Cricetulus griseus: one gene and its partners. The protein of the gene in region 4 purifies or fractionates together with the protein of the main gene of each other region. This does not show direct contact. Links are inferred from orthologs where the notes say so. Each region holds a gene or a part of one and is shown on either strand. Other genes may lie near its edges. The genes, in order: Exosc6, Exosc3, Exosc7, Mphosph6, Zfc3h1, Exosc2 and Exosc9.

What was found.
Region 1: the proteins of Mphosph6 (region 4) and Exosc6 purify together in Homo sapiens (affinity purification with mass spectrometry; 3 studies listed by BioGRID and IntAct, with this or other methods). This does not show direct contact. The link is inferred for Cricetulus griseus from reciprocal best matches to the Homo sapiens genes MPHOSPH6 and EXOSC6.
Region 2: the proteins of Mphosph6 (region 4) and Exosc3 purify together in Homo sapiens (affinity purification with mass spectrometry; 6 studies listed by BioGRID and IntAct, counting the BioPlex papers as one, with this or other methods). This does not show direct contact. The link is inferred for Cricetulus griseus from reciprocal best matches to the Homo sapiens genes MPHOSPH6 and EXOSC3.
Region 3: the proteins of Mphosph6 (region 4) and Exosc7 purify together in Homo sapiens (affinity purification with mass spectrometry; 4 studies listed by BioGRID and IntAct, counting the BioPlex papers as one, with this or other methods). This does not show direct contact. The link is inferred for Cricetulus griseus from reciprocal best matches to the Homo sapiens genes MPHOSPH6 and EXOSC7.
Region 5: the proteins of Mphosph6 (region 4) and Zfc3h1 purify together in Homo sapiens (affinity purification with mass spectrometry; 3 studies listed by BioGRID and IntAct, with this or other methods). This does not show direct contact. The link is inferred for Cricetulus griseus from reciprocal best matches to the Homo sapiens genes MPHOSPH6 and ZFC3H1.
Region 6: the proteins of Mphosph6 (region 4) and Exosc2 purify together in Homo sapiens (affinity purification with mass spectrometry; 8 studies listed by BioGRID and IntAct, with this or other methods). This does not show direct contact. The link is inferred for Cricetulus griseus from reciprocal best matches to the Homo sapiens genes MPHOSPH6 and EXOSC2.
Region 7: the proteins of Mphosph6 (region 4) and Exosc9 purify together in Homo sapiens (affinity purification with mass spectrometry; 5 studies listed by BioGRID and IntAct, with this or other methods). This does not show direct contact. The link is inferred for Cricetulus griseus from reciprocal best matches to the Homo sapiens genes MPHOSPH6 and EXOSC9.

Annotation. Positions count from the first base shown.
Region 1 is NC_048596.1:187,461,890-187,464,954, forward strand, and holds Exosc6 (exosome complex component MTR3), read left to right. Parts: upstream 1-1,246; 5' UTR 1,247-1,322; coding exon 1,323-2,141; 3' UTR 2,142-2,565; downstream 2,566-3,065. Other genes in the region: Aars1 (alanine--tRNA ligase, cytoplasmic), read left to right, coding at 1-8. UniProt on the Homo sapiens protein: Non-catalytic component of the RNA exosome complex which has 3'->5' exoribonuclease activity and participates in a multitude of cellular RNA processing and degradation events.
Region 2 is NC_048595.1:98,138,479-98,142,616, forward strand, and holds the start of Exosc3 (exosome complex component RRP40), read left to right. Parts: upstream 1-1,338; 5' UTR 1,339-1,347; coding exon 1,348-1,695; intron 1,696-2,251; coding exon 2,252-2,401; intron 2,402-4,138. UniProt on the Homo sapiens protein: Non-catalytic component of the RNA exosome complex which has 3'->5' exoribonuclease activity and participates in a multitude of cellular RNA processing and degradation events.
Region 3 is NC_048597.1:230,059,014-230,062,513, forward strand, and holds part of Exosc7 (exosome complex component RRP42), read left to right. Parts: intron 1-2,178; coding exon 2,179-2,302; intron 2,303-3,426; coding exon 3,427-3,500. UniProt on the Homo sapiens protein: Non-catalytic component of the RNA exosome complex which has 3'->5' exoribonuclease activity and participates in a multitude of cellular RNA processing and degradation events.
Region 4 is NC_048596.1:194,432,457-194,436,550, reverse strand, and holds the start of Mphosph6 (M-phase phosphoprotein 6), read left to right. Parts: upstream 1-1,294; 5' UTR 1,295-1,401; coding exon 1,402-1,452; intron 1,453-4,094. UniProt on the Homo sapiens protein: RNA-binding protein that associates with the RNA exosome complex. Involved in the 3'-processing of the 7S pre-RNA to the mature 5.8S rRNA and play a role in recruiting the RNA exosome complex to pre-rRNA; this function may include C1D.
Region 5 is NW_023276806.1:140,750,033-140,754,221, forward strand, and holds the start of Zfc3h1 (zinc finger C3H1 domain-containing protein), read right to left. Parts: upstream 2,801-4,189; 5' UTR 2,717-2,800; coding exon 2,068-2,716; intron 1-2,067. Other genes in the region: transmembrane protein 19, read left to right, coding at 3,623-3,693. UniProt on the Homo sapiens protein: Subunit of the trimeric poly(A) tail exosome targeting (PAXT) complex, a complex that directs a subset of long and polyadenylated poly(A) RNAs for exosomal degradation. The RNA exosome is fundamental for the degradation of RNA in eukaryotic nuclei.
Region 6 is NC_048599.1:143,396,339-143,399,838, reverse strand, and holds part of Exosc2 (exosome complex component RRP4), read right to left. Parts: intron 1,580-3,500; coding exon 1,534-1,579; intron 1,417-1,533; coding exon 1,327-1,416; intron 304-1,326; coding exon 238-303; intron 1-237. UniProt on the Homo sapiens protein: Non-catalytic component of the RNA exosome complex which has 3'->5' exoribonuclease activity and participates in a multitude of cellular RNA processing and degradation events.
Region 7 is NW_023276806.1:113,107,304-113,110,803, forward strand, and holds part of Exosc9 (exosome complex component RRP45), read right to left. Parts: intron 3,350-3,500; coding exon 3,267-3,349; intron 2,181-3,266; coding exon 2,048-2,180; intron 935-2,047; coding exon 846-934; intron 1-845. UniProt on the Homo sapiens protein: Non-catalytic component of the RNA exosome complex which has 3'->5' exoribonuclease activity and participates in a multitude of cellular RNA processing and degradation events.

The DNA of each region.
Region 1 (3,065 bases), about 7.0 Mb from region 4:
AGAACTGACAGGAGAGAAGCCCTCACTGGGAAGCGTTTCCCCATCAAACAAATGTGTCAGAATGCAGGAGTGCACCCAGGAGCTCCCCTGCCATGAAGACATTTGAGTCTTGGGACCTTTCAGTCGCCCTATCCGTCCTAATCCAGCAGTAACTGGAACATACCTGGAGCTGTCCTGTGACTTATTGCCCCTTTCCGTTACTGCTCTGAGCCATACTGTCAGCACCATCTGTCTAGAATCACTACCCCAGGAATGCTGTTGAACATCACCGTGATCATGTCTAGATAAGACCACTCTGCCGACCTGAGGCTTCTAGGTCATCTGCAGGTAGGAAGCCTTTTTGTTGCAGAAAATAAAAAGGACCATGTGCAATACTTGATAAATGCATTCTACTTTTTCTCCCCGGGGTGGACCCTGACTCCCTGTATGTCTGCAGAATACAGGCTGCAGTTCCAGCTAGTTTCTGATTGAAATGATCACAGAATACATCCCTAGACCCCTGAACTTTAGGAGTGGCCCCTGGGATGGCAGAGACATAATGGAAGGGCTGAATTGAGGCATTCAATAGAGTGGGGAAGGTTTCTACAGAAATTCTCAAGTGGAAAAACACCTTTCTCAGTCTCTTGGGACAACCTCTTAATGCCTTGGACCATGTATGTCTCATCTCTACCTCCTTTTGAAGTTGCTGATATGAGGTCAGAAAACTAATATAGGAAGTATAAGCATGGAGGTGTCTGTCTCCCAGTAACTGTCCTATCTGTGTTTCTTAACCTAAAGTAGTTCAAGCCTGGCCCAGCCTAAAATGTAATTAGTCTGAGTCTACAAACAGCAGAGTCTGGAAGCAGTAGTGTGTGGGAGGTAGAGATGTTGCCTGCTCATGCCAGTTCCTCAGGGTGTTAGAAATGTACATATATGCGTGCGTGCGTGCGTGCGTGCGTGCGTGCGTGCGTGTGTGTGTCTGTGTACACACAGTATAGGAAGAGAAATTTCCATCAGTTTATTAAACAAGTGTTGAAGCCAGCTGGGGGACTGAGTACAGGAGTGAACAAAAAGCCCTGATGTTGTGCAAGTTTATGTAAAAAAAGAAAGTGTAAATGCAAAATTCAAGAAATAACCTTAACAGGTTAAGAGTCATTAAGATCAGGCCAGGTCACAGCGCGGGCCAAGTCCAGCTGTACCTCCTCCACACCTCTAGGTGGCAGTGCATCCACCTACCGCTCTCCCGACAGGCTGCGCGCGGGCGCGCCTGTTTTAAGTAAGCGGAAGAGCCGGTGCGCAAGGTAGCCCAGCAGGCGGAAGTGGCTCGTGCGCCGGTAGCCGCCATGCCGGGAGACCACCGTCGTATCCGCGGGCCGGAGGAGTCTCAGCCGCCGCAGCTGTACGCGGCCGACGAAGACGAGCTGCCTGCTGCCCGCGACCCGACGCGGCTACGGCCGGTGTACGCGCGCGCCGGGCTGCTGAGCCAGGCCAAGGGCTCGGCCTACCTGGAGGCCGGAGGCACCAAGGTGCTTTGCGCCGTGTCGGGCCCGCGCCAGGCCGAGGGCGGCGAGCGCGGCGGCGGCCCTGCGGGAGCGGGCGGCGAGGCTCCGGCCGCCCTCCGTGGCCGCCTGCTCTGTGACTTCCGCCGCGCGCCCTTCTCCGGCCCCCGGCGTCGCGCCCCCCAGGGCGGCGGCGAGGAGCGCGAGCTGAGTCTGGCGCTGCAGGAGGCTCTGGAGCCCGCGGTGCGCCTGGGGCGCTACCCTCGCGCCCAGCTCGAGGTGTCCGCGCTGCTGCTGGAGGACGGCGGCTCTGCGCTGGCCGCGGCTCTCACGGCCGCGGCGCTCGCCCTGGCCGACGCGGGAGTGGAGATGTATGATTTGGTAGTGGGCTGCGGCCTGAGCCTCGCACCGGGACCCTCGCCCACTTGGCTGCTGGACCCCACGCGGCTCGAGGAGGAGCACTCCGCAGCCGGCCTCACGGTGGCGCTCATGCCGGTGCTCAATCAGGTGGCCGGGTTGCTGGGCAGCGGGGAAGGCGGCCAGACTGAGAGTTGGACGGACGCGGTGCGCCTGGGCCTGGAAGGCTGCCAGCGCCTCTACCCAGTGCTGCAGCAGTGCTTGGTGCGAGCTGCCCGCCGGAGGGGCGCCGCCGCCCCGTCCTGATTGGAAAACCCGAGCAACAAGGATGCGGATGACTGCTGATGTCCTTCTTTCCCAAACGGCCCGGCTGCTGGTCGCCTGCCTTGGCCGAGCTGAGAAACGAGAGTGGGAGGCAGCGCGCACTGAACCGAAGCGCTGGACAGCTGTGTTGGAACGGTTTAAAGGGCCTTAGCAGCCTTACTCCCAAGTTGGAAAGGACTTCGGCTGGATTACCTGGTAAATGAGCTGTGTTCTTGTAAGGGATGGACCCTGTGCAGGCCAGCCATTGGCTCCAGTGTATGATAAACTGCTTCTTTTGAGAGGATGGACAAGGGACTTTGCCTTCTCACTACCCGAACTAAAACATAAAAACCTTTTTTATACCTGAAAATACATCTTGTGGCTTTTCTTGGTACTACAGTTAGAAACAATGCCGTTTTGAACTGGGCATGTGTTGAGTCTGTATTGCCAGTATTGACTGTATTGTCAGTACTATCTTAAATTTTCCTGTCTCTTAGCTCACTGTAAGTGAAAAGGAGTAACGTGCTTTAGAGGAGAAACCTCCTGCCCTAGGAGCAGTGTCTGAGGTGAAAAGACCGAGGAGATGTCAGAACAGCCAGAGCTACACAGAGAAACCCTGTCTCCGACAAAACGACAGGAGAGTTAAATAGCCTCAGAAATCTGGGTGCACACCTATCCTCTCCTTTGAAGCACAAGATCATGTCTAGGAGTTGGGTAACTGGAAAGGATTATGCTCTAGAAAGAAGCCCTGTCACTCCCTTCTTTGGCCAGTAGGGTAGCATAACTGGAGGTTTCCATGACTTTGCAGAAGTGATAGTGCAGACCTTTAAAACCCAGCACTGGTGGGGCAGAGGCAGGTGGATCTCTGAGTTCTAGGGCAGCCAGAGCTACATAGAGAAACCCTGTTGCAAAAAAGGAAAAAAGAAA
Region 2 (4,138 bases), on a different chromosome or scaffold from region 4:
AATCCCCCTTTGGTTCACCTAATTAACATGCCCAATCTAAATATATGCTAGCATCCTAGTCTATTTTGATGCAGACCTCTTTTTTCCCTTCTTAAAAACTACACCTTCAGGCTGGAGAGATGGCTCAGAGGTTAAGAGTACTGACTGTTCTTCCAGAGGTCCTGAGTTCAATTCCCAGCAACCACATGGTGGCTCACAACCATCCGTTATGAGATCTGGTGCCCTCTTCTGGTGTGCAGATATACATGGAAGCAGAATGTTGTATACATAATAGATAAAATCTTTTTTTTTTTTTTTTTTTAAAAACTACACCTTCAAAGTTACTTGCTGTTTTTCTGCCCGAGTCAGAAAGCAGCCACTTTAATTTTTCTTCCCTGATTAATAAAGGATCTCTCTGTGAAATAGGTGTTTGAGGAGTGTGTGCTTCTAATCCGGTCCAGGAGAGAGCCCCCTGCCCCCCCATTCGGGCTTTCCTTCAATTGGTGTGCTCCAAAAGAAATAGGGGCAAGAATTGTTCTGAGTTACTGATTTTCCTAAGCCATGTAGAGATAACTCAAGTAGGTGAAAAGGTGTGATATGTGTTGCGCGCGGGGGTGGAGTGGGGGTGGCGGGGGGGGAGCCCTAGAGTGTAATACACATAAGTGTTACATCTATTATGTACAAATGATAGGAACTACAGCTGAAAACACAGCAAAGGAGACAAATGAGTAAGACTTCCGTTGTTCTTTCTTTTTAATAATTGATTTTTATTTCATATGCATTGGTATTTTGTCTGCATGTGTATCGGTGTGAGGGTGTTAGATCCCCTGGAACTGGGGTTACAGGCAGCTGTGAGCTGCCTTGTGGGTGCTGGGTCCTGTGGAAGAACAGCCAGTGCTCCTAAACCATGAAGTCATCTCTCCAGCCCCTATTGTTGTTCTCCCATTCTTTATATTTTACAGAATTTAAATTGGTAGCAACGTCCAAACAAGTCATACTTTGCAAACCCTTTTTTCCCAGTTAAAATTTCAGCCACCTTTCTGTAGGCTGAATGGAAAGTAAAGCCTCCAAACCCAATACCCAGGGGCCCTTAGTTCCAGCACCCGTAGAGACTAAGCCGAAAGACCTGACACGGGATGTGAGGGCTCCAAATGAACTCCAGCTGGGCGTCTCTTTCACCCACCCGCGGAGAAACCACAGGGTGGGTGGGCTGATAGCTCAGATACGGGTGTTTGGGGGTGGGGAGGAGGGGGTACCGAAGAGAGGATGTGACTGGTTGGCGGTCTGAAGTCTATTTCAGAAAGCCCACAAAAACCGGAAAGGGATAACCCTGGAGGGCGGGCTCTTGGATGCGGAAGCGGAAGTAAAATGCCGGAAGCTGCGACGACTCCTGCTATGGCTGAAGTACTGTCGGTTGGGAAAGAATCGGTGGCCGGCTGCCGGGCGCGGGTAGCGCACAACGTGCTGAATCAGGTGGTTCTCCCTGGGGAGGAGCTGGTGCTGCCGGAGCACGAGGACGTAGACGGCCTTGGCGGCGCCGGGGAGCAGCCTTTACGTCTGAATTCGGGGGCGCGCCCGCGGCTGCGCGTCGTGTGTGGCCCGGGTTTACGACGCTGCGGGGACCGCCTGCTGGTCACCAAGTGTGGCCGCCTGCGCCACAAGGAGCCCGGAGGAGGCGGCGGTGGCGTTTACTGGGTGGATTCTCAACAGAAGCGGGTGAGCGGACGTTGGAGAGGCCGTGCTGCTGCGATAGTGGAATCCCAGTTCTGGGAAGACTCCCTGCAGCGGGGAGGAGAGGATGAGCTCAGCCTAGAGCCGCGGTGGCTTCTAGGTCCCCTCTGCATCTTCTTTAGAGGAACCACAGTAGAAACACAGCTTGAGAAGGGAGAAAGGAGAAAGGGGCTAGAAAGTAGGAAGCCGCAGGCGTGCCATGTGGAGTCCCAGTTTCAGTGAGTCTAAATAACAGGGAGTTAAATTATTCGTAGAGTAAGAGCTTTCATGTAGAAGTGTCTAATGGGTGGGTTTCCTTGACTGTAAGGATTCTTGTGCCGCCGGATGTATAAAAGATGCTGAAGTATGAAACCTGACTCAGGTCAACTACGGATTAGAGACAACAAAGTTGGATTGGTGCGGCCCGGTTTTGTAGTCCCAGCTACCTGAGGAATATGAGTTGGGAGGATTGTTTGAGACCCATCCTGAGCAACCTTGCTAAAACTTACTGCATATATGTTACAGTAGTCTTTTATGGTTGTTCTTTCATTATGTTTTGCAGTACGTACCCGTGAAAGGAGACCACGTGATTGGCATAGTGATTGCTAAATCTGGAGATATATTCAAAGTTGATGTTGGAGGGAGTGAGCCAGCTTCTTTGTCTTACCTGGCATTTGAAGGAGCAACTAAAAGAAACAGACCGAATGTGCAGGTAATGATGGGAGCCTTTGGTTTCAACAATAAGGCAAAAATAGCCACTCCCCAGAAATTTAGCTGCCCAGAGGACTTCCTGATTTGTCTCCAAAGCATAAACTATCCTTCAGATTCTCCAAGATAGTTCCTTAGGCGCTGCAGCTCCAGAACCAGTGCTGTGTTCTTGGTTCTTCTCTCCCAGGTTGAAGGGTTATGTTTGCTTCCCCTTGTTACCTGTGAGGTTCATATCCATATCACAAGGAAAGTGTCCCTAGTCTAAGGGACACTGGTACTGTCAGTCATCTATCTCTTCATCTTGGCTCTGAATCCTTGGAGCTGACAGAAGAGTGATCTTGTTACTACAGGATTTCTGGTTGGTTTAGCTGTATCCTTCCTGAGGATACATGTGAGCCAGAAATTTGATGGCATCTGTGCTACTTTTCTTTCAACTCTCACAGGTCTTGAGTCATTTGATCTTATTTGTTCCATCTCTTGTCTTTTGCATGCCTTATCCCTTTGTGTCTATGAGTTCAAGCATTTGCTCATTTTTGACAAAACTGGGCAGCAATCTCATTAACATTCCAGCTTCCATCTGTTAATATCCTCATGTTGACATTCCCTTTTTAAAGGTTTTATATGTGTGGATTTTTTTAAAAAAAGATTTAAGTATATGTGAATGCTCTATTGACTTTATGCCAGAACACAGCATCAGATCCCACTATAGATGGTTTTGAGCCACTATGTGGTTGCTGGGAATTGAACCCAGGTCCTCTAGAAGAGCAACCAGTGCTCTTAACCACTGAGCTATCTCTCCAGCTCCCATATTCCATTTCTTAACAGGAAAAAAAATGTTCAAATCATAGAGAATTCATTGGCATTGTGCCCCAGGGGTCTTCCCTCATATTAGCACTTCATGCTAATATGCTTAAGTTTCACAACACCACTGAACTTGGTTCCTTTGGGTCTTTAGTAATGGTGCTCTTCTGTCTGGATTGCAGTCTCTCAGCCTATGAGACAGACATCCATCCATTGAGATCCAGGCTAAGCACGACTATGTAAAGTCATTCATCATCATCACTTTTCCTGTATCTTTACCATGGTACTGGATTTATTCTTGAACTTGTCATGAGTTTATTCATTCTTGTTGCCCTGTAGAAGATCACATGTTCTTGAAAGGCATAAAGTGTCTTATGATTCATTCCCTCTAAGTTTTGTAGTCACCCAAAATGGTGGGTACTTAAATATTATTAATGTATGCATATCGAGGGTGTTTTGGCTCTATGTATGTATTTGCCCTCTATATGACTGATGCTTGTGGAGGTCAGGCAGGAAGGTCGGGTCCCCTGAAACTTAAGTTATGAATGGTTGTGAGTTGCTAGGAGGGTGCTAGGAACCAAACCTGGGTCCTTTGCAAGAGCATCAAGTACTCTTAACCCGTGAGCCATCTCTCCAGCTCTCAACAGTGGGGATTTTTAATGTTGAAATTCATTCTGTTTCCTCAGCTTCATCATTTTAAAGTTCAGTTTTGTAACATTTTAAATCTAGAGCTGGATGGTACTGGTGCACACCTTTTATCCCAGCACTTGGGAGGCAGCAGCAGGCAGATCTCTGAGTTCGAGACCAGCCTGGTCTACAAGATCTAGTTCCAGGACAGCCTCCAAAGCCACAGAGAAACCCTGTCTCAAAAAACCAAAAAAAAAAAAAAAAAAAAAAGGATTTCTGGATGAAGGGAACTTTTCTGCTTTTCTGTCTTATA
Region 3 (3,500 bases), on a different chromosome or scaffold from region 4:
CAGCCAGGCTTTGTGGAAATGGGAAAGAAGGTTGTCATCAGAAGTGGCTTAGCCTCTGAGATGAGTCTTCTTGGCTAGCTGGTTCGCATGGGTGCCAGGGAGTTGGGGAAGCTGTTTTGCTGTGAGGGAGTCCTGAGAAAATGGATGTCAGCTTGTGAAACCTAGCTACCCAGATCACGAACAGCTATCAGTCTCACTCTCAGGCAGCAAGGAACAGTGACCCCATGATGCCCTTGGATAGAAGATAGAAAGAACTTTGTACATTGAAGTCCTCCAGAAGAGTTGATGCCACTCTGTCTTCCCCAATCCTCTGCCTATGTTGGGCCCAAAGAATTAAGAAATTAAAAGTTCTCTCTCTTTCTCTCTCTCTCTCTCTCTCTCTCTCTCTCTCTCTCTCTCTCTCTCTCTCTCTCTCAGCCACCTTCCTCTTACTCCCCCCCCCCCCGTGTGTGTGTGTGTGTGTGTGTGTGTGTGTGTGTGTGTGTGTGTGTAAATATACAGACGTCTATTTTGGCATATCAGTCCTGTTTCACACTGCTTACTGCCCACTTCAAGGAGGATGTCACACTTAGTACTCTGAGGATGTCACACTGAGCACTCTGAGGATGTCACACTTAGCACTCTGAGGATGTCACACTGAGCACACTAAGGATGTCACAATAAGCACTCTGAAGATGTCACAATGAGCACTCTGAGGATGTCACACTGAGCACTCTGAGGATGTCACACTGAGCACTCTGAGGATGTCACAATGAGCACTCTGAGGATGTCACAATGAGCACTCTGAGGATGTCACAATGAGCACTCTGAGGATGTCACACTTAGAGCACTCTGAGGATGTCACACTTAGAGCACTCTGAGGATGTCACACTTAGAGCACTCTGAGGATGTCACAATGAGCACTCTGAGGATGTCACACTTAGCACTCTGAGGATGTCACAATGAGCACTCTGAGGATGTCACAATGAGCACTCTGAGGATGTCACAATGAGCACTCTGAGGATGTCACACTTAGAGCACTCTGAGGATGTCACACTTAGAGCACTCTGAGGATGTCACACTTAGAGCACTCTGAGGATGTCACAATGAGCACTCTGAGGATGTCACACTTAGCACTCTGAGGATGTCACACTGAGCACACTAAGGATGTCACAATAAGCACTCTGAGGATGTCACAATGAGCACTCTGAGGATGTCACACTTAGCACTCTGAGGATGTCACAATGAGCACTCTGAGGATGTCACAATGAGCACTCTGAGGATGTCACAATGAGCACTCTGAGGATGTCACACTTAGAGCACTCTGAGGATGTCACACTTAGAGCACTCTGAGGATGTCACACTGAGCACTCTGAGGATGTCACAATGAGCACTCTGAGGATGTCACACTGAGCACTCTGAGGATGTCACAATGAGCACTCTGAGGATGTTACAATGAGCACTCTGAGGATGTCACAATGAGCACTCTGAGGATGTCACACTGAGCACTCTGAGGATGTCACACTTAGAGCACTCTGAGGATGTCACACTTAGAGCACTCTGAGGATGTCACACTGAGCACTCTGAGGATGTCACAATGAGCACTCTGAGGATGTCACACTGAGCACTCTGAGGATGTCACAATGAGCACTCTGAGGATGTCACAATGAGCACTCTGAGGATGTCACACTGAGCACTCTGAGGATGTCACGCTTAGCACTCTGAGGATGTCACACTTAGAGCACTCTGAGAATGTCACACTTAGAGCACTCTGAGGATGTCACACTTAGAGCACTCTGAGGATGTCACAATGAGCACTCTGAGGATGTCACACTTAGCACTCTGAGTCCCTGACACAGAAGCTCTAGCCTCAACTTTTGACAGGTAGCGAGGATGTAAACAAGGTGGAGTTAACGAAATTCCTGCTTATAAAAAAAGAATTTCGCTGGGTGTTGGTGGCGCACGCCTTTAATCCCAGCACTCGGGAGGCAGAGGTGGGTGGATCTCTGTGAGTTTGAGGCCAGCCTGGTCTACAGAGCTAGTTCCAGGACAGCCTCCAAAGCTACACAGAGAACCCCTGTCTCGAAAAAACAAAAACAAAAACAAACAAACAAAAAAGAATTTCGGTTCCTGATCTCAAAAAAGGTTATGGTTCCTCCTTCCAGGAGATGGAAATTTCAATCATGCCTCTGTTCCCAGGATACCACGGGTTCGTGTTCTGGAGGATGAAGAGGGGGCAAAGGACATCGAGCTGTCTGACGATCCTTACGACTGTATCCGCTTGAGTGTAGAGAATGTGCCCTGCATCGTCACCCTGTGCAAGGTGTGAGCTTGTCTCTTAGCATTCTTGCCTTCCGTGGGGAGGCGGATCTCTTCCAACCCTAGGCTCTTGAGATTACTTCATAAGCTGAGAGGCTGTAGTTGTGCAAACCCTACAAATGTAGCTTTAACCCACATCTCATCATTCGGTTCCATTAGGTACAGACGAGTCCCAAGGGAAGGCTGCTTCATTAGCAGTCTGGCTGTCATGGTCCCTCTGCAGGCTCTGCACTCTATTGCACTGCTCATTTTCCATTAACTCCCTGTACTCCAGAGTCCAAGGTAGCTGAACACCGGTAGGTTCTCAAACAGTATTCCTCTATGGACCCTGATGTCCACATACAGGAACTGAGGGCTTGGGGCCAGTCCTAGGTGACACATGCCAAGTATAGTTTGCACGGAGCCCAGAGGTTTTCTGACTCTGACATCTGGCATAGCCTCAGGCTTGTGTTGGCTGGGATTGTGACTAATTCCACAAGAGACTCGTTATATAAAAATGAAGCTGAGCCAGGTGCAGTGGCTCATGTCTATAATTCCAGAACTCAGTAGGTGGGGACAGTAGGACTACTGCAAGCTTGAGACCAGCCTAGCCTATATATCAAGTACCTCGTCAGCATAGCTGCACAACAAAGACCTTGTTTCAAAACAAAACAAAACCAAAATCACACATTTCAGTCACTTAATACCACTGGAAGTTTTTTGAGAACTGAGATTGTAAAGAAATGTTCACAGGGCGTTGGGACTAAACAGAGCTCTGGAGGGTGGCATTATTTTGTATGTCCCTTAGCTGGGCTTTCTGGATTCACTGTTGGAGTGAACAAGAAGCCGTGGGGCCTCACATATGCATTTCCTGCCTGTGTTCCCTGTGGGAAAGCCTGGTGGTCTCTGTCCTGGTGGACTCTCTGCCCCCAAACTGCTTGTTGACATTTTGTCTTTTTATTATATTATTCACACAATGGACCATATTAACAATGTTGAACATTCCTTCCAGCATTTTCCAAACAAGCAGAATTTAAAATAAGATCTGGAACGAGCCATGCATGTACAGCCTTTGTAGGCTTGTGTCAGGGGGATCTGGGATCTCTGGTCTACTGTTCACATGTATGTTAAACAGCCCTGATCTTGCAGATTGGCTGCCGGCATGTGGTGGATGCCACACTTCAGGAGGAGGCCTGCTCCTTGGCCAGCTTGCTAGTGTCAGT
Region 4 (4,094 bases):
AGGACCATCCTGGACTAAATTTAAAGTGACCCTAAAAGTCACTCACCACAATAGTTTTCTTTCTTCTGGAGTACTTACTACTTTTTAATGCACACAATGCCAGCTCCAAGAAAAGGTGGTAATGTGTTTTTAACCACTTGGTACTCTGCAATGTCTCACTCCCAGTTATGAGTAAATGTGTTTCTGTAACCACTTAACACATTATGTCTTTATTTACTCCACTGGGAAAACCTTCAGGGCTTTTAATATCCGGAATGCTTTATGAATCTCAGTTTTACCACCTCTCCAGCAGGTTGCTTAATACACGACAATGATGTGTTCTTCAGTGTTCTCACAAGGTACAGCACCCAGTTCAAAAAATGACGTCCACTGCATGCAAATTGCTAAATGTTACTCAGTGTCTTCCTGAAGTGTGGAACCTGAGAATGGCCTGGGGAAAAGTCTTCAGGGGGTGCAGTGAGCACTAAACGGAAAAGTACTAAAGCTACTACTGCATTTACAACTGTTTGCCTTAATATAGGCCTCAAGGGTTTTTTATTCTTAATAATTTAATTGCATTTGTTGTGAGGTGTGAGCATGTGTGAAGTCAAAGGACAACTTCCGTCCTTCCATCACGTGGATCCCAGGGATCAAACTCAAGTCCTCAGGCTTGGCAGCAAATGTCTTCACCCACTAAACCATCCCTGGCCCCTTCACAAGTTCTTTGTCGCCTTTCCTCGCGTGCAGCTCCTGCTAGCTCCTGTTTTTCTTCCTGTTTAAAAGGGAAATTCTCCAGGCTCAAAGATGCACAGCAAACAGGTGTATGTATATTTACCAGTTTTGTGTGCAGCGGTGCAACGGGGCATCGTCACTCCCAACACTGGGTTTGTGGCCACCTCCTGCAGGGAGTTCTAGAGAACGAGCTACCTAGGGAGCAAACCAGTAATGTTTTTAAAACTTTTAAACTCTGGCAGCAACCTCAGCGGCTTATCAGCAAGGGCCCTACAGACGGGGCGCTCAGGGGTCCCCTGGAGTCGCGGCGGCCCGGAGGCCCCGCCCACAGCTCCAGCGGCCTCCGGTTAATCTGCCTTCCTGAGGTAAACCCCCGCCCGCCTCCCGCGGCAGCCCGAGTTCTTACCACAGCGTCTTGGGGAGAGACGCGCTCCCATAGGAGCCGAGCGAGAAAAGCTAAAGCAACCATTGAGCACTCGGAACGTGGGCGGGGCAAGACCGGGTGCTGGGGTGGGGCAACGCGGCAGGGTGTGGCCAATAGGGGGTGGGGCAAAGGCTGAGGCGGGGCTAAGAGCTGCGGCGAGAGACGGCGACGTGGCGAGAGGAGGGGCACGTTTAGTGCCACGTCACGCTCAGCGCTTGACAGTGCGCAAGCGCCGTGGCTCCGGAGCCGCTGGAAAAGTACCCAACATGGCGTCTGAACGCAAGACTAAGTTATCCAAGAACCTGCTGCGCATGAAGGTGCGGGGGTTGGGGGTTGCTGGGGTGTCGGATGGGGCAGCTGAGCCCCGAGATGTCCCGAAGTGACTCGGGCCGAGGCGAAACGGGCAGACTGCACCCCAGATTGGCCCCGGATGGCCGCGGCCCGCGTATCCATCCATTCATTCGTTCAGCCTACCGGCCATTGGGCACCTGGGGTGAGATTATGATGAGGCAGACTCGCCTCAAGCCCGAAGCCCGTTGTGGGGACTGAGCTTGCACGAACGTAAGAACCTGCAGCGACTGCCGAAGTGTTAGGGCCGCCTGGGAACTTAGGCGTCTCGCGAGAAATGGTCCTTAAAAAGAAACCACGTGAAAGGATCTCAGGTAGTGTCCTGAACCAGGGTAAGTGAGTTCATAAGTCTGAGAGGGAGAAAAGAAAATTACAGACGTTTGCAAGAACAAAAGGCAGCTGGGACGTCTGAAAGGCAAGGGGCATAAAACTAGTCTGTAAAAATTAGTGGTCACTAGGAACTTTGTGATCCAGACTGAAGTTTTGTTCCCCGTTATCTCATGAGCAGTAAGGAAAGTGTTGAGCCCGGGAACAGTCTCATGAGTTGTTACCTATCAAAGCTACGAGAACTGTACTGTGGATAATAATTAATGAGAGAGAAGCCCAACCCCACAACACATAAACTTACAGGCAGAAAGACCAGCTAAAAGGTCCTGTGCTCTGGATGAAGGTTGTCATTGTGGTTGGAATGAAGAAAATTTTAAGTGGGGTGGAACGAATTGTCCATCAGCTTTTAAACAAAATCAAAATTTTAAAAGGTTTATGCTTATTTTTCTTTATGTATGCCTATAATATACACCATGTGTGTTCAGGTGTCTATGAAAGCCAGAAGAAAGTGTTGGAACCCCTGAAACTGGAGTTGTAAGCTGCTAGGTGTGGTTACTGAGACCTCTCTGCAAGAGCCAGAAGTCTTAGCCACTGAGCCAACTATCCAGCCACATGATTTTTAAATTTGAAATTGAACCAATTTGAACCAGCAGTAGTGGCTTGGTGGTACCCATTTGTAACCCCAATACTGTCAGCTGCTTAGCAAGTCTGTGGCCAGCTTGGACCAGACTAGAGACCCTGTCTCAAAGTGTCAAAAAGACGACAACAACAGAAACCTGAATGAACTTAACTACAGTCTGAAAAGGAGAGTGAGGTTAAAGTCACATTAATTAAGATGGGGGGGAAGCTAAATCTTAGGACTTACATAATAGTAATAGAACATATTTATTATCCTTCCTATATCCAGACATTGTTCTTGTTTCATATATAATAAACCACTTAATCCACATGGGAACATTTGAAGTAGCCACAGTCATTATCTCCATTGACACCTGAGGTATCTGAAACAGGAAGTAACAGCTAAAAAGACTGATCATCTGGCCCCAGAGTCTTTGCTGTAGTCTCTACCACCTGTCACTGAACGCACAGGTGGCACTTGACTTAAACGTCTCACTCAACAGTATTATAAAGATTATTTAACACGGGCAGCTGCCCTGCCTATGAAACGGTGTAGGTTAGCCACACAGTACACTGTAGAGTTTCTGTCATTTACCCCTAGGATGATGTGGCTTTCTGGGAGTGGTGCCCCATTGCCCCCACCACAGTGGAGTCCCCTGTTACATATGGCTAGCACAGGAAAAGGTCAGAATCTAAAGTACTGTTTCTGGTGTGTGGTATTAGATTCCCACCATCTTAAAGGTGGTTCATTAATCTAAACCTTTTTAAGGCGTGGGCTGTCAGTGAGAGCAGTGGCGTTTCCAAGAAAAGGAAATAAGGAATGAATGAGTCCTGTGTTGAGGGTCAGGGAGTAAACTTTCCCTGGAAGCTTTGAATGCAGTTGAGTTGTACTGCAGCTGGGAGTGAACAGAATGAGGATGGAGGGAGGGCAAGTTGCCCCTAATTTAGTTTGGCAAGTACTTCTTTCTGTGTGTGAGCAAAGTTTGAGTCTTTACCAGTTTAAGCAGTTTGTAATCATGCTGATTGCAGAGAATTAGAGCGGATCTAGGAAGCACTGAGTAGTCTTAGCTCTTGGAGTAAACCAAATGAGCCTGTGCTAAGCATACAGGGTGGACACTAAAGATCTGCCTCTGAGCTCGAAAATAATTAAAGCAATTATTTCCCCTCACCCAAGTGAACAAGATCCAACTGGACATGACAAGTGTGTGGGAGAGCATTACCCATGTTTTGTTTGTCTTAGCAGCTGTATTGACAACAACCTTGCTGGTGGGACAGGAGGTATTATGCACAACTACAGCAGTGTACTAGGAGAAGGCGTGGAACAGAGGTGCTTAGGGCCATTCAGGTAGAACTAATAAGGCAAGCATGAGAGCATTGGACATTTATTCCTGACTCACTTGTCTTCAGTACTTTTTAATTAAAATTTTAAAATTATTTTATGTGTATGAGCATTTTGCCTACATGTATGTCTGTACCACCTGAGTGCCTGGTACCCAAGGAGGCCAGAATAGGTTGTCAGGTCCCCTTGAACTAGAGTTACAGAGGGATGTGAGCCCCAATGTAGGTGCTAGGAGTCCAGCCTGTCTCCCCTGGAAAAGCAACCAGTACTCTTAACCACTAAACCATCTCTCCAGTCATATATATATTCATTCATATTCTTGTATGT
Region 5 (4,189 bases), on a different chromosome or scaffold from region 4:
GATACTAAAGGACTATGGATAGGGCTTGGTATTACAAGTTTTATTTGCTCCCATTATGTTTTCCTTCTCCAATTCTTACTAAGAACACTATCTCTAGGGTAGTGTACTGATATTTCATGAGAACAATAATGCAGACAAGCAAACCAAGCACCTTGGTTTTTGTTGTTGTTTTGTGTGTGTGTGTGTGTGTGTGTGTGTGTGTGTGTGTGTGTGTGTGTGTGTGTGTGTGTGTGTGTGTGTGTGTGTGTGTGTGTGTGTGTGTGTGTGTTTTGAGACAGGGTTTCTCTGTGTGGCTTTGGGGGCTATCCTGGCATTCGATCTGGAGACCAGGCTGGCCTCGAACTCACAGAGATCCGCCTGCCTCTGCCTCCCGAACACTGCATGCGCCACCAACGACCAGTTTTTGCATCTTGTTCTTAAACTGCAGTATCTGAAACACAATCAATGTGACAGCTGATTTCTGATAACCACTGGATATTTACCTACATGCTCTTCCATAAGTACATAAAAATGTCAGTATATGGCATACCCTATACAGTATGGAACAAACAGGAAAATGGGGAGGAAGGAGGCAGGTAAGCCTGTCATCTTTGAATTGCCACTGTGCTTTTGTCCTCAATTTGATGTTTTATTAAACTCTATTTTCATTTGTTTCTCCAACACAAGTTACACATTTCATCTACATAACCTTAAAAAACATGTTTATGTATTTAAACATCCTTTGTTTTTGAATTCGGAAAACAAAAGGCCATGGTGTTCCATATAATCATGGGCAAAGGGTTTCTAATCTTTGTGAGAAAACCTCCACTGTTTTAAAAGGTTATCTACCTGTCATTTTCCCCCATAACAATCTTGAGATGCTTCCAAACCAATTATAGGTGATAGAAGGATAAGCTTTGCCAGGACACAGGAACCAAAACCTGTTATTTCTTTAAATATCCCTTCCCCATTAACATCATGACATCTAGAAAAAGCCAATATCGCTCAAAGTGCTTCATAAAAATAATTTTGAGTAGCTTCCAATTAAGTGTCATATGTGAACCTCATAGAAAATATATTAAACCACCATTGCATCATGGGAATTACAGCTAGTAATAAAAGTGCTTAGTAAACTATGTTAAACAATTTGTACAAGTCGGGATGTATAAACCCATCGCAAAACACAAACGCTTTGGACGATTAATTTCTGAAAATAAATCCTGAGTAAACTTGGTAATGTTAAAGATAACCAATAATAAGGCTAGAGGGGGCAAAAGTTAGGAAACTGGCTGTTTTTCTTTCCCACTGGTCCATACTCTACACATCCCGCTCAGAAACACAATACAATAAAAGTGCTGATGAGTTTATCTTCCTCTATCTGAATGTTGGCAGCACCAAGAATTACAAAGCCCCAAAGCGAACATAAGGAAAGTGAACTTAATGCATAGCATTAAGCATAGTTTGGAACTTAGCTTTCCAAACTAAGTATGGATGGACTTAAAAGATCTGAATTACTAAAACTGGTTAAAAAATAAGTAAATAGACAGATAATTAAAGGGTCTACACACACACACTTCCAAAGGCAGTAATGAGAACGGATAACTACGAGAGCAAGAAAAAAATTCACAAGGACGGTAAAATTACAGAGGAAAACTTGACGAATCCTAATGCCAGGGTGTGATATTAAGCAACAAGGTTCCTCGAGACGTTTATGAGTCCTTCTTTTCTCTAATAATCTAAGCGAATTGCCCATAAAATACGAAACTCCGGTGCTAGCAAAAAAAAAAAAAAAAAAAAAAAAAAAAAAAGCAAAGTACTAATGAAACCTGGGCGGCTGGTGCGTACCGTTGGTTTCTCTAGCTGACCCCGAATCCATGGCACACTCATGAGTTCGAGAGCGGTCCAATCCAACACAACAATCTAAGAAAACAGCGGTGGAGTGCGTGGCACTCGACAACTGCTGGCGCACCGAGAGACAAATAGGTGGTTCCGAAAAGTTAGGACTCGGGGATGGGGGGAACCTAGTCGTGGCGCTAACGGGAGCTCCGTTAGCGACACACCCAGGGCAGACCGCCACGTTAAGGATACAGCTCTTGCGAGGTGGAGAGGGCTCTCGCCAACTCTGACTACTGCTGCTGCTGCCGCCGCCGCCGCCGCCGCCGAATCCGGATCCCGCTCCTCCTCCTCCTCCTCCTCCTCCTCCTCCCGGAGGAGGTCTGCACCCCGGCTTGCCTCCTCGCTCGCCCACTCCTCGCCCCCGACTCCACCGACTCCCACCCCGGTAAGGCCTGCCTCGAAAGCGGAAACGGTCCAGGGCGATGTGGCTCCGCTCCCAGAACGACGGCCGGGGGCTGCTTTCCGACAGGGAGCCCGAAGGCATCCGCACCGGGGGCGGGTGAGTCCGGAACGGTTCTTTGGGTCGGTAGCTGCTGTGTCCCCTGAGGTGGCCCCGCTCCGACGGGTGCCGCGAGCGTGAGAAATTCCTCAGCGGCTGCTGAGAAGAGGACGACGACGACGACGAGCCGCCGCCTCCCCCGGATCCGCCGCCGCGGGGCGGGTGAGGAGGCCGCCGCCGCGGGTACGGCAACAGCCCGCCGCCGCTACTGCTGGTGCTGCTGCTCCGGCTCCGGATCTGGCTGTTGTTGTCGTCGTCGCTGATCTCCCCATCCTCGAGCTCCCCTTCCTCCTTCGGGGAGAGGCCGCTAGAGGCCGGGGTCGAAGGATCAGCGGTCGCCATCCGGGGAGCGGCGCCGGTCACACCACCTTAGCCCTCCGTCCGGGGACCCCCGCCCGCCGCCCGACCTCCGCCCGCCCGTCCGCTGCCTGCCGGCTGCCTTCCCCTGCCTCCTCTCCCCTGAGTCCTAACGGGCCCGGCAGGCGCGGCCTTCCCGTGCTCGGACGCCTGGCAGGCTCTGCTCCCCAACTTCCCCGCACCCCAGATCGCTCTCTCGCCGGACCGTCGCTCAGCCAGTACCCTCTCCTAGCGCCCCCTTGCTGCTCTTCCGCCTCGCGAGAAAGGAGCCGTGGAGGAGGAGGAGGTGGAGGTGGAGGAGGAGGCCGAGTCCCGGTCGTCATTTCCGGCGGCACGCCGGAAGGAGGCGACTTCCGAGTCTCGCGATATAAAGGAAGCGCGACCGGGCGCGAGGCTCGCTGGGATTTGTAGTCCGCTCTCGCGCAAGGCTTCGCCCTTGATCCCGGCGGACCTAACTGTCCCCAGCTGGCATCATGCCGGCTGAGATGGCCCGGTCGGTGTCCGGGTAGCGGGCCTGCGTTTCAGAGTCACTCATTGGTGGGGAAGACACCTGCCATCTCTTCCTTGCTCCGGCGCCCTTATCTGAGACGCAGTGTACCTCCCTGTCTTTGGGACCCCGGGCCGGGGGGAGGGGAGCGGGGGAGCGGGTGTGGCCGCCATGTTGGTGAAGGCGAGCGTGTGCGCCGGGAGCCGCAGGACCGTTGGCTAGTGCGAGCCGGACCCCGCCATGTTAATAAAGAGGCCGGGGAGTGGGCGCTCCCTCCCGCCCGTGTAGCGTGCACGCCCCTCTTCCTCGTGTCGCCGGCCTCCTCGTTTGTCTGGCGTGGTGACAGCGGCTGTAGCGGGCTGCGGTGGCGTCAGGGAGCGCCGCCGAATGAGGGGCCGGGGGAGATGCCGACCAATTGCGCCGCGGCGGGCTGTGCTGCCACCTACAACAAGCACATTAACGTCAGCTTCCACAGGTAACCCGGGCGAGGGAGCGGGGGTGACGCAGACGGGCAGCCGAGGCACGAGGCGACTCGGGACCCGAGCCCGGCTGCTAAGAATAGCCGGGTGGAGCGGGGGGGGGGGGGTGCCTGGGGTCCCTTTGTGTGTGGCTTCGCGCCCCTGGAGACCTTTTTGGTGCCTCTTCCCCCCCCCCCCCCACCGAGGAAAGTTGACACCTGCCTGGCGAAAAGAAACGCGGGTTCTTGTGAGCCGTAACCCTCGCATTAAAGAGTGACGAGCGTGCCTTTACCGTCTGCTCCTCTGTTGTTGTTCTGTGTTTAATATCTTAGACCATGCCTTGACACGAGTGACACCCTAAGGGAATGAGCATTTCCCCGTTCAAGTCAACACATCCCCGAAAAAAAAAAACCCTGCGGTGCTCGAGTTTTAAAATTAGGAAATTCTCGCTGGCCGAATTGACCAGCGTGGGAAAAACGTTTTGTGATAGGGCACACACTGGGACTGCGGAGG
Region 6 (3,500 bases), on a different chromosome or scaffold from region 4:
CTGAGACAGCAGTGCTGTGTTTGAGGTTAGCCTGGTACACAGTGAGTTCCAAGCCAGCCTGGGCTATCCTTAAAAAGAAAGACAATTGTGTCTAGCTTGCACCATGGGTCACAAGTTACAAAACCCAGAGTACTGTTCTGAGCTAAGGAGAAAGAGCAAAGCTTCAGCCAAGCCCTGGACATATGACCCAGAATTCAGACCCCTCTGGTCAGCTGGCAGCCCTGTAAGTCAGGATACACTGATGAGGTCTCCTTCCTGTAAGAAGCCTCTCATGGCCAGCTCATCCTCTGCAGATCTTCTCCTCTGAAACACACGGAAAAATGACCACATGACACAAGCCTCACTTTCAGGAGGAGCTCTTTCCATCCCTGCTTTTTGCTTGAGGTCTGTGTAGCCCACCATGGTATTTTAACATAAAGAACTATGACAAGAGGTAACCTCAACTGCTGGAGAACAAGGGAGGTGATACTAGCTCTCCAAGAGGGACCCTCCTAGGCTAACATCCAGACCCTCTACAGGTCACTGAGCCTGTTTCCCCACTTACCCTCACTTCCACCAGGCTGTGTGTCTGCTCACGTATCTCCCTTCATCTGAGTCCCAACCTCACTCCAACTCTCAGACCCCCAAGGGCCCTCCTATGAAACAACCCCTCTCTGCTCTCCATGTTTCTTTCTTTTCCTGCCTCCCCATGTGGTTCAGCTATCTCCTATCCTCCACCAATCTATAAGTTCTTTAAGGGACTCAGATGTGCCTTATTTATTCTGACACTCTCCATAGGATCCAGCTCACTGTCTAGAATAACCATGTGCATTCAAGTCACTGAAAACTAAGGATAAGTGGGGCTTAGTGGCACATGACTTTAATCCCAGCACTTGACAGGCAGAGGCAGGCAGATCTCTGTGAGTTAAAGGCCAGCCTGGTCTACAGAGTGAGTTCCAGGACAGCCAGGGTTACACAGAGAAACCCCGTCTGAACACCAACCTCCTGCCCACCCTCAAGAAAAGAAAAGAAAGCAAAGGCCAACATTTCACAGACACCTTCCCTGTGTAACCCACAAGAATGCCAACCCACCAAGAAAGGAAATTAGCACCAAGATTCAGGAGCCCCTCTCCCCAGCTCCATCTTGGGAGCCCACTCCACATGTGTTTCTGGTCTTACCAAACACTAGTTGCTGCCTATGTCAGGTGACCAGAGCCAGGAGAAAAAGCCTATGTTCACCAAGCTAGCAGACCCCATGACAAAACATTAACAGTGTAAACCGAGTTCTATGGTGGAACAAAAGCCCCACAGCTCAACTGGACAGTTCTAGGGCAGACAAGCACTCACCAGCTCCCCTCCGGGCAGGTTCATGGATGAGAGGAGCAAGACAGAATCCAGCCTGGAATTTGTCTCTACTTTCCACCTCTTCTGTTGAACCTGTAAGGAAAGAGTAAGGCAGCATCTCAGGGCACCTTCTTCATACAGCATTTCACAGAATGAAGGTCCCATCCCTGAGCCACCAGCCTCCTTCACTTTGTAAAACAGCAACTTTACCTCCGTGATTCTCCCCACTACAATGTCTCCTACTTCTCCATTGTATCTGCAAGAGAAAGCAGAAGGTTACCCAGTAGCCAGCAGGCTGACCAGACCAAGCACTATTTGAGGCTGAGTAAACAGATGGGACTTCAGAATCCCTGTGTATATACTTCATTCGTTTTCCTTAAAGAAACTGCTGCCGGGCATTGGTGGCTCACACCTTTAATCCCAACACTTGGGAGGCAGAGGCAGGCGGATCTCTGTGAGTTCAAGGGCAGCCTGGTCTCCAGAGCGAGTGCCAGGATAGGCTCCAAAGCTACACAGAGAAACCTTGTCTCGAAAAAACCAAAAGAAAAAAGAAAAAAAGAAATTACTCATTGCAAATCATTCCTTTAGACTGCAGTCCTAACTTTGCTTGATTATGTGACAAAAACACAAAGTACTTGCTTCTGAATAGGGGTGGGACAAGTTTATCACCACGCAATGGAGGGAAGGAGACACTGAAACACACTACCATCCATGGGGGCTCGAGCTGCCCTCTCCTCGATGCCTGCCTGGCTCAGGCACTTTGCTGGTCCCTCACCCTGATTCTGAGGATGAAGTGCTCTTTGCTAAAAGCCCAGGCATTAGAATAGGTCTCTTTCTACTCAAGCTCCCTCACAGTGAGCTCACCGAGTTTTAGTGGTGAGAGGCAGGGGCTCGTCCATACTCCCGGCTCTTGGGAGAGAGCGTCATGAAGCTATCCAGTATCAGTAGCCACACAAATGGCTCGTGAACACTTCTAAAAGTAACTAACCCAAAACAAAGACTGCCGGCATCGGCTTCCCCTTCTCCACAGCAAACCACTCTCCCATTGATGCCAGGTCAGTAAGTGCTTGCACACACACACACACACACACACACACACACACACACACACACACACACACACACACACACACACACACACACACACACACACACACACACACACACACACACACACACACACACACACACACACACACACACACACACACACACACACACACACACACACACACACACACACACACACACACACACACACCACACACACACACACACACACACACACACACACACACACACACACACACACACACACACACACACACACACACACACACACACACACACACACACACACACACACACACACACACACACACACACACACACACACACAACACACACACACACACACACACACACACACACACACACACACACACACACACACACACACACACACACACACACACCACACACACACACACACACACACACACACACACACACACACACACACACACACACACACACACACACACACACACACACACACACACACACACACACACACACACACACACACACACACACACACACACACACACACACACACACACACACACACACACACACACACACACACACACACACACACACACACACACACACACACACACACACACACACACACACACACACACACACACACACACACACACACACACACACACACACACACACACACACACACACACACACACACACACACACACACACACACACACACACACACACACACACACACACACACACACACACACACACACACACACACACACACACACACACACACACACACACACACACACACACACACACACACACACACACACACACACACACACACACACACACACACACACACACACACACACACACACACACACACACACACACACACACACACACACACACACACACACACACACACACACACACACACACACACACACACACACACACACACACACACACACACACACACACACACACACACACACACACACACACACACACACACACACACACACACACACACACACACACACACACACACACACACACACACACACACACACACACACACACACACACACACACACACACACACA
Region 7 (3,500 bases), on a different chromosome or scaffold from region 4:
ACTAGCCTATCTGTGGAGGAGTTAATTGTTAATTGATGAACCAAGGGCTCAGCCTTCTATGAAGGGCACCATTCCCTGGGCAGGTGGTCCTGTCCATATCAGAAATGTAGTTAAGCATGAGCCTGTGAGCCAGCAATCAGCCTTCCTCTGGTTTCTGCTGTACTCCCTCAGCTCTGAGTTAGTTCCCTGATTACAGGTATATGAACTATCAAGGAGGCCTACCTGCCTCCAGGTTCCTGGTGAATGTGATCTAGAAGTACAAGCCAAATAAATCCTTTCCTCCCTTAAGTTGCTTTTGGTGTGTGTTTTTATCACAGCACCAGAAATCAAACTAGGATATACTACCATAGTTATCAAGACAGATGTCACCATAATTACTGAACCTCTGCTGCATATGTGATAGGTACCTGAAGTACATTCCTTAAGCTTCAAGTCTGCTATCAAGACAGACGGCACCAGCCTCCACAGGACAAGTTAAGTACACTGAAGTACTAGATACTTATTGCTGGAGGTAACAAGAAGAGGAGCTATGAACCAGCCTTTTTATTCCTTCTATTAATTTGAGTTATTAGGTTCTTTTTTATAAGAACATGTTAACTTTTAAAGAAAACACTTCTATGACTTTTTAAAATAAAATCTCAACTAAGTACTAGTATATACAACTGAGATTAGCTAAGTAAAGACCAAGTATGAAACTATATGGCTGCTCTTGTGTGAAAAAGCCCTACTATATACACAACTGAGATTAACTAAGTAAAGACAAAGTATGAAATTATACCGCTGGCCTTAAAATCCCTTAGAAACACACATTTAAAGAGCACATAGTTCTGAGAAATTAAACTTACCGAACTTTCTGGTCATTTTCCAAAGCTTTCTGTATTAGATCTGTAATTTCTGCTACTTTCACACCAGCTATTTTACTGCATCTCAAAACCTGTTTGTAAATTTGAGCTGTTAAAGACAACAAACTAAATGGCTTTTTCTAATGAAACCAAAACCATGACATGAATATTCTACCTTTACAATTTAAGCATTTCTTTTCCAAATGTGAAATTAAGGTACAGTAAGTAGCTAAGACAAAATATGAGAATCACTTATTTTGAAGGTCTAGCACATTAAAGGAACAGACTTGAGAACTTACTTATGAAACAGTTAAGCTACCAGAGATGACAAATGAAATGCTCAGGCTTCCTTTCTGTGCCAGTAATCCACAGAAACAGAAATCTATAGTGGTTGCAATCCTAGCACCATAGGTAGCAGTCACCGAGCACTCTGTGTTCCAGAGACCTATAATCTGCCTACACATTTACCCTCCAATCCCTTCTATGGTGCCAGCAATAGAATTATCCCCTAATGTACAGGAGAAGGCACAGAGACCCAGAAGTAAGTCATTTGCAGAAAGGCTATAAAGATCAATTAAAACTGGAACTAAAACTGCTCCATGCACATAGTTAATGCTCACAATGCTACATGGCACTCTGTTTTCTAATTGCCTCTGTGTGGATCTGGTATGTGGCTGGGTTTGAGTATCACTCACTGCTGGTTGTATTCACATTCCAAAACTAAAACTTAGCTTTCTCTTAGTGTATACATTTAATACTTTAAAAAGTAGTAATGAGTCTTTCTTCACTGAAGGAACTAAGGTATTCCTCCAGGCAGATCTAGAAGGACAAATACAGGGAGGGGCAAGGAAAGAAAGGATAACCATGTCTACCTGTTAGAATGTAATACCTGAACTGAAACCAGATTCTAATATGACTAGACTTACTAAAGTGCCCTGTGGCTTTTAGTTAAAAGATAACATTAAGCCAGGCAGTGGTGGCACAGGCTTTTAATCCTAGCACTGGAGGCAGAGGCAGGGGAATCTCTGTGAGTTTGAGGCCAGTCTGGTCTACAGAGTTCCAGGACAGCCAGGGTTGTTACACAGAGAAACTCTGTCTCAAAAAACAAAACAAACAAACAAACAAACAAGGATAATTCTAAAACGAAGTAACAATAAATCTTCAGAAGAGAGACCTCTTAGAGGGAAGCTAGTCAAAGCACTAACCTGGTCTTTGAGCAGCATTATCCCACCACTAGACTGAATAGTACAAATTTCTCGATGCTTATTCATGGCAATCACCAGCAAGCCATCCATTACTCGTTCTTCTCGTTCATTGGGGTCCACCAATAAGTATGTTCTGAAACAAACGTTAAATGGTCCTGAACATATCTGAAGCTGAGTGCTGTTTCTAGAGTGGGTTTGTTAAAGTTAACATCCAAAGTCAGTACTTCAGCATTGAAGGAGCTGAGTCACTAACTCAATGATTTCAATTATGTGGCCATTACAATAAAGCCACACTAGGTTCAGACTGAAATTCAAATGACATATAACCCAATACTCACACCATCTCTTTGATAAAATGATTTCTGGCTCATTAATAAAGACATAACATTAATTTGGTTCATTTCCAAGTAGCACCAAGGCCCTGTGCTCTTAAGTTCTAGAACCTGTAGATGGCACAGAAAAGGGCTGCCTGTTTCTGCAGTGTCTTCTGCTGGCAGACACACATGGGCACTGAGCTCGACTCCAACCATGGGTATAAAATACTTAGTACAAACAGAAGAATGTAAAATCTTGAATAATTTTGAAAATTCTGGTATATAATAAAATGAAATATTTTATATCTATAAGGTTAACAAAGATATAAAAAATTTAATTTGTCTTTATTTTGTTTTCATTAAGGACCCTACTATATTTCTGAGTTTTGTCTAGAGTTTGCTATGGAGCTCAGGCTGGCCTGAAAGCCACTGAGGTTTTCCTGTCTCTGCCTCCCCAATTTCTGGTTTTCACACTTGCTATGTTTCTCTTGTCTTTTAATGTGACTACTGGAAAATTTTAAGTTACTTTTATGGCATATACATTTTACTTTACTAGATAATGCTGGTCCATTTTCCTGATATTGAATTAGCTTCGATGACTAAAAAATCCTTACAAAGTCAGGAAGAAACCAACAGATGCTCTAACATTAAGGTGTATCAGAACAGAGCAATAAAGATCCTGAGCTGGAAGAGTGTTACACACAGCATTCACAAAGCCCTGAGTTCAACTCCTAGCGCCACAGAAACCAGGTATGAAAGTACATACCTGTAATGCCAACACACAGGAAGTGGTGGCTGGAGGATCAGAAGCTCACGGTCATCGTGAGATATGAGACTGTTTCAGTAAACAGAATCCAATTCCTGGGAATATTTACATTTTCAGCCCAAGACAAGGCGACACTTACCCTTGCTGGAAGAAAGCAAAACTGATACAGATGGGCATGTGGTGGATGCTCAGTGGCACAGGGTCCCGCTCTTCAGGAGTGTACTGTTTCAGAAGAAAAGGCCAAATGCTTACAGACAGCATATGAGAGAAATACAAAAGCACTTTGAGACCAAACACTAAGAAATGAATTTCTTAATTTGAGTAGCTAAATAATGTATTTTATAATTACTTACGACTTTGGCAACTGTGTCCC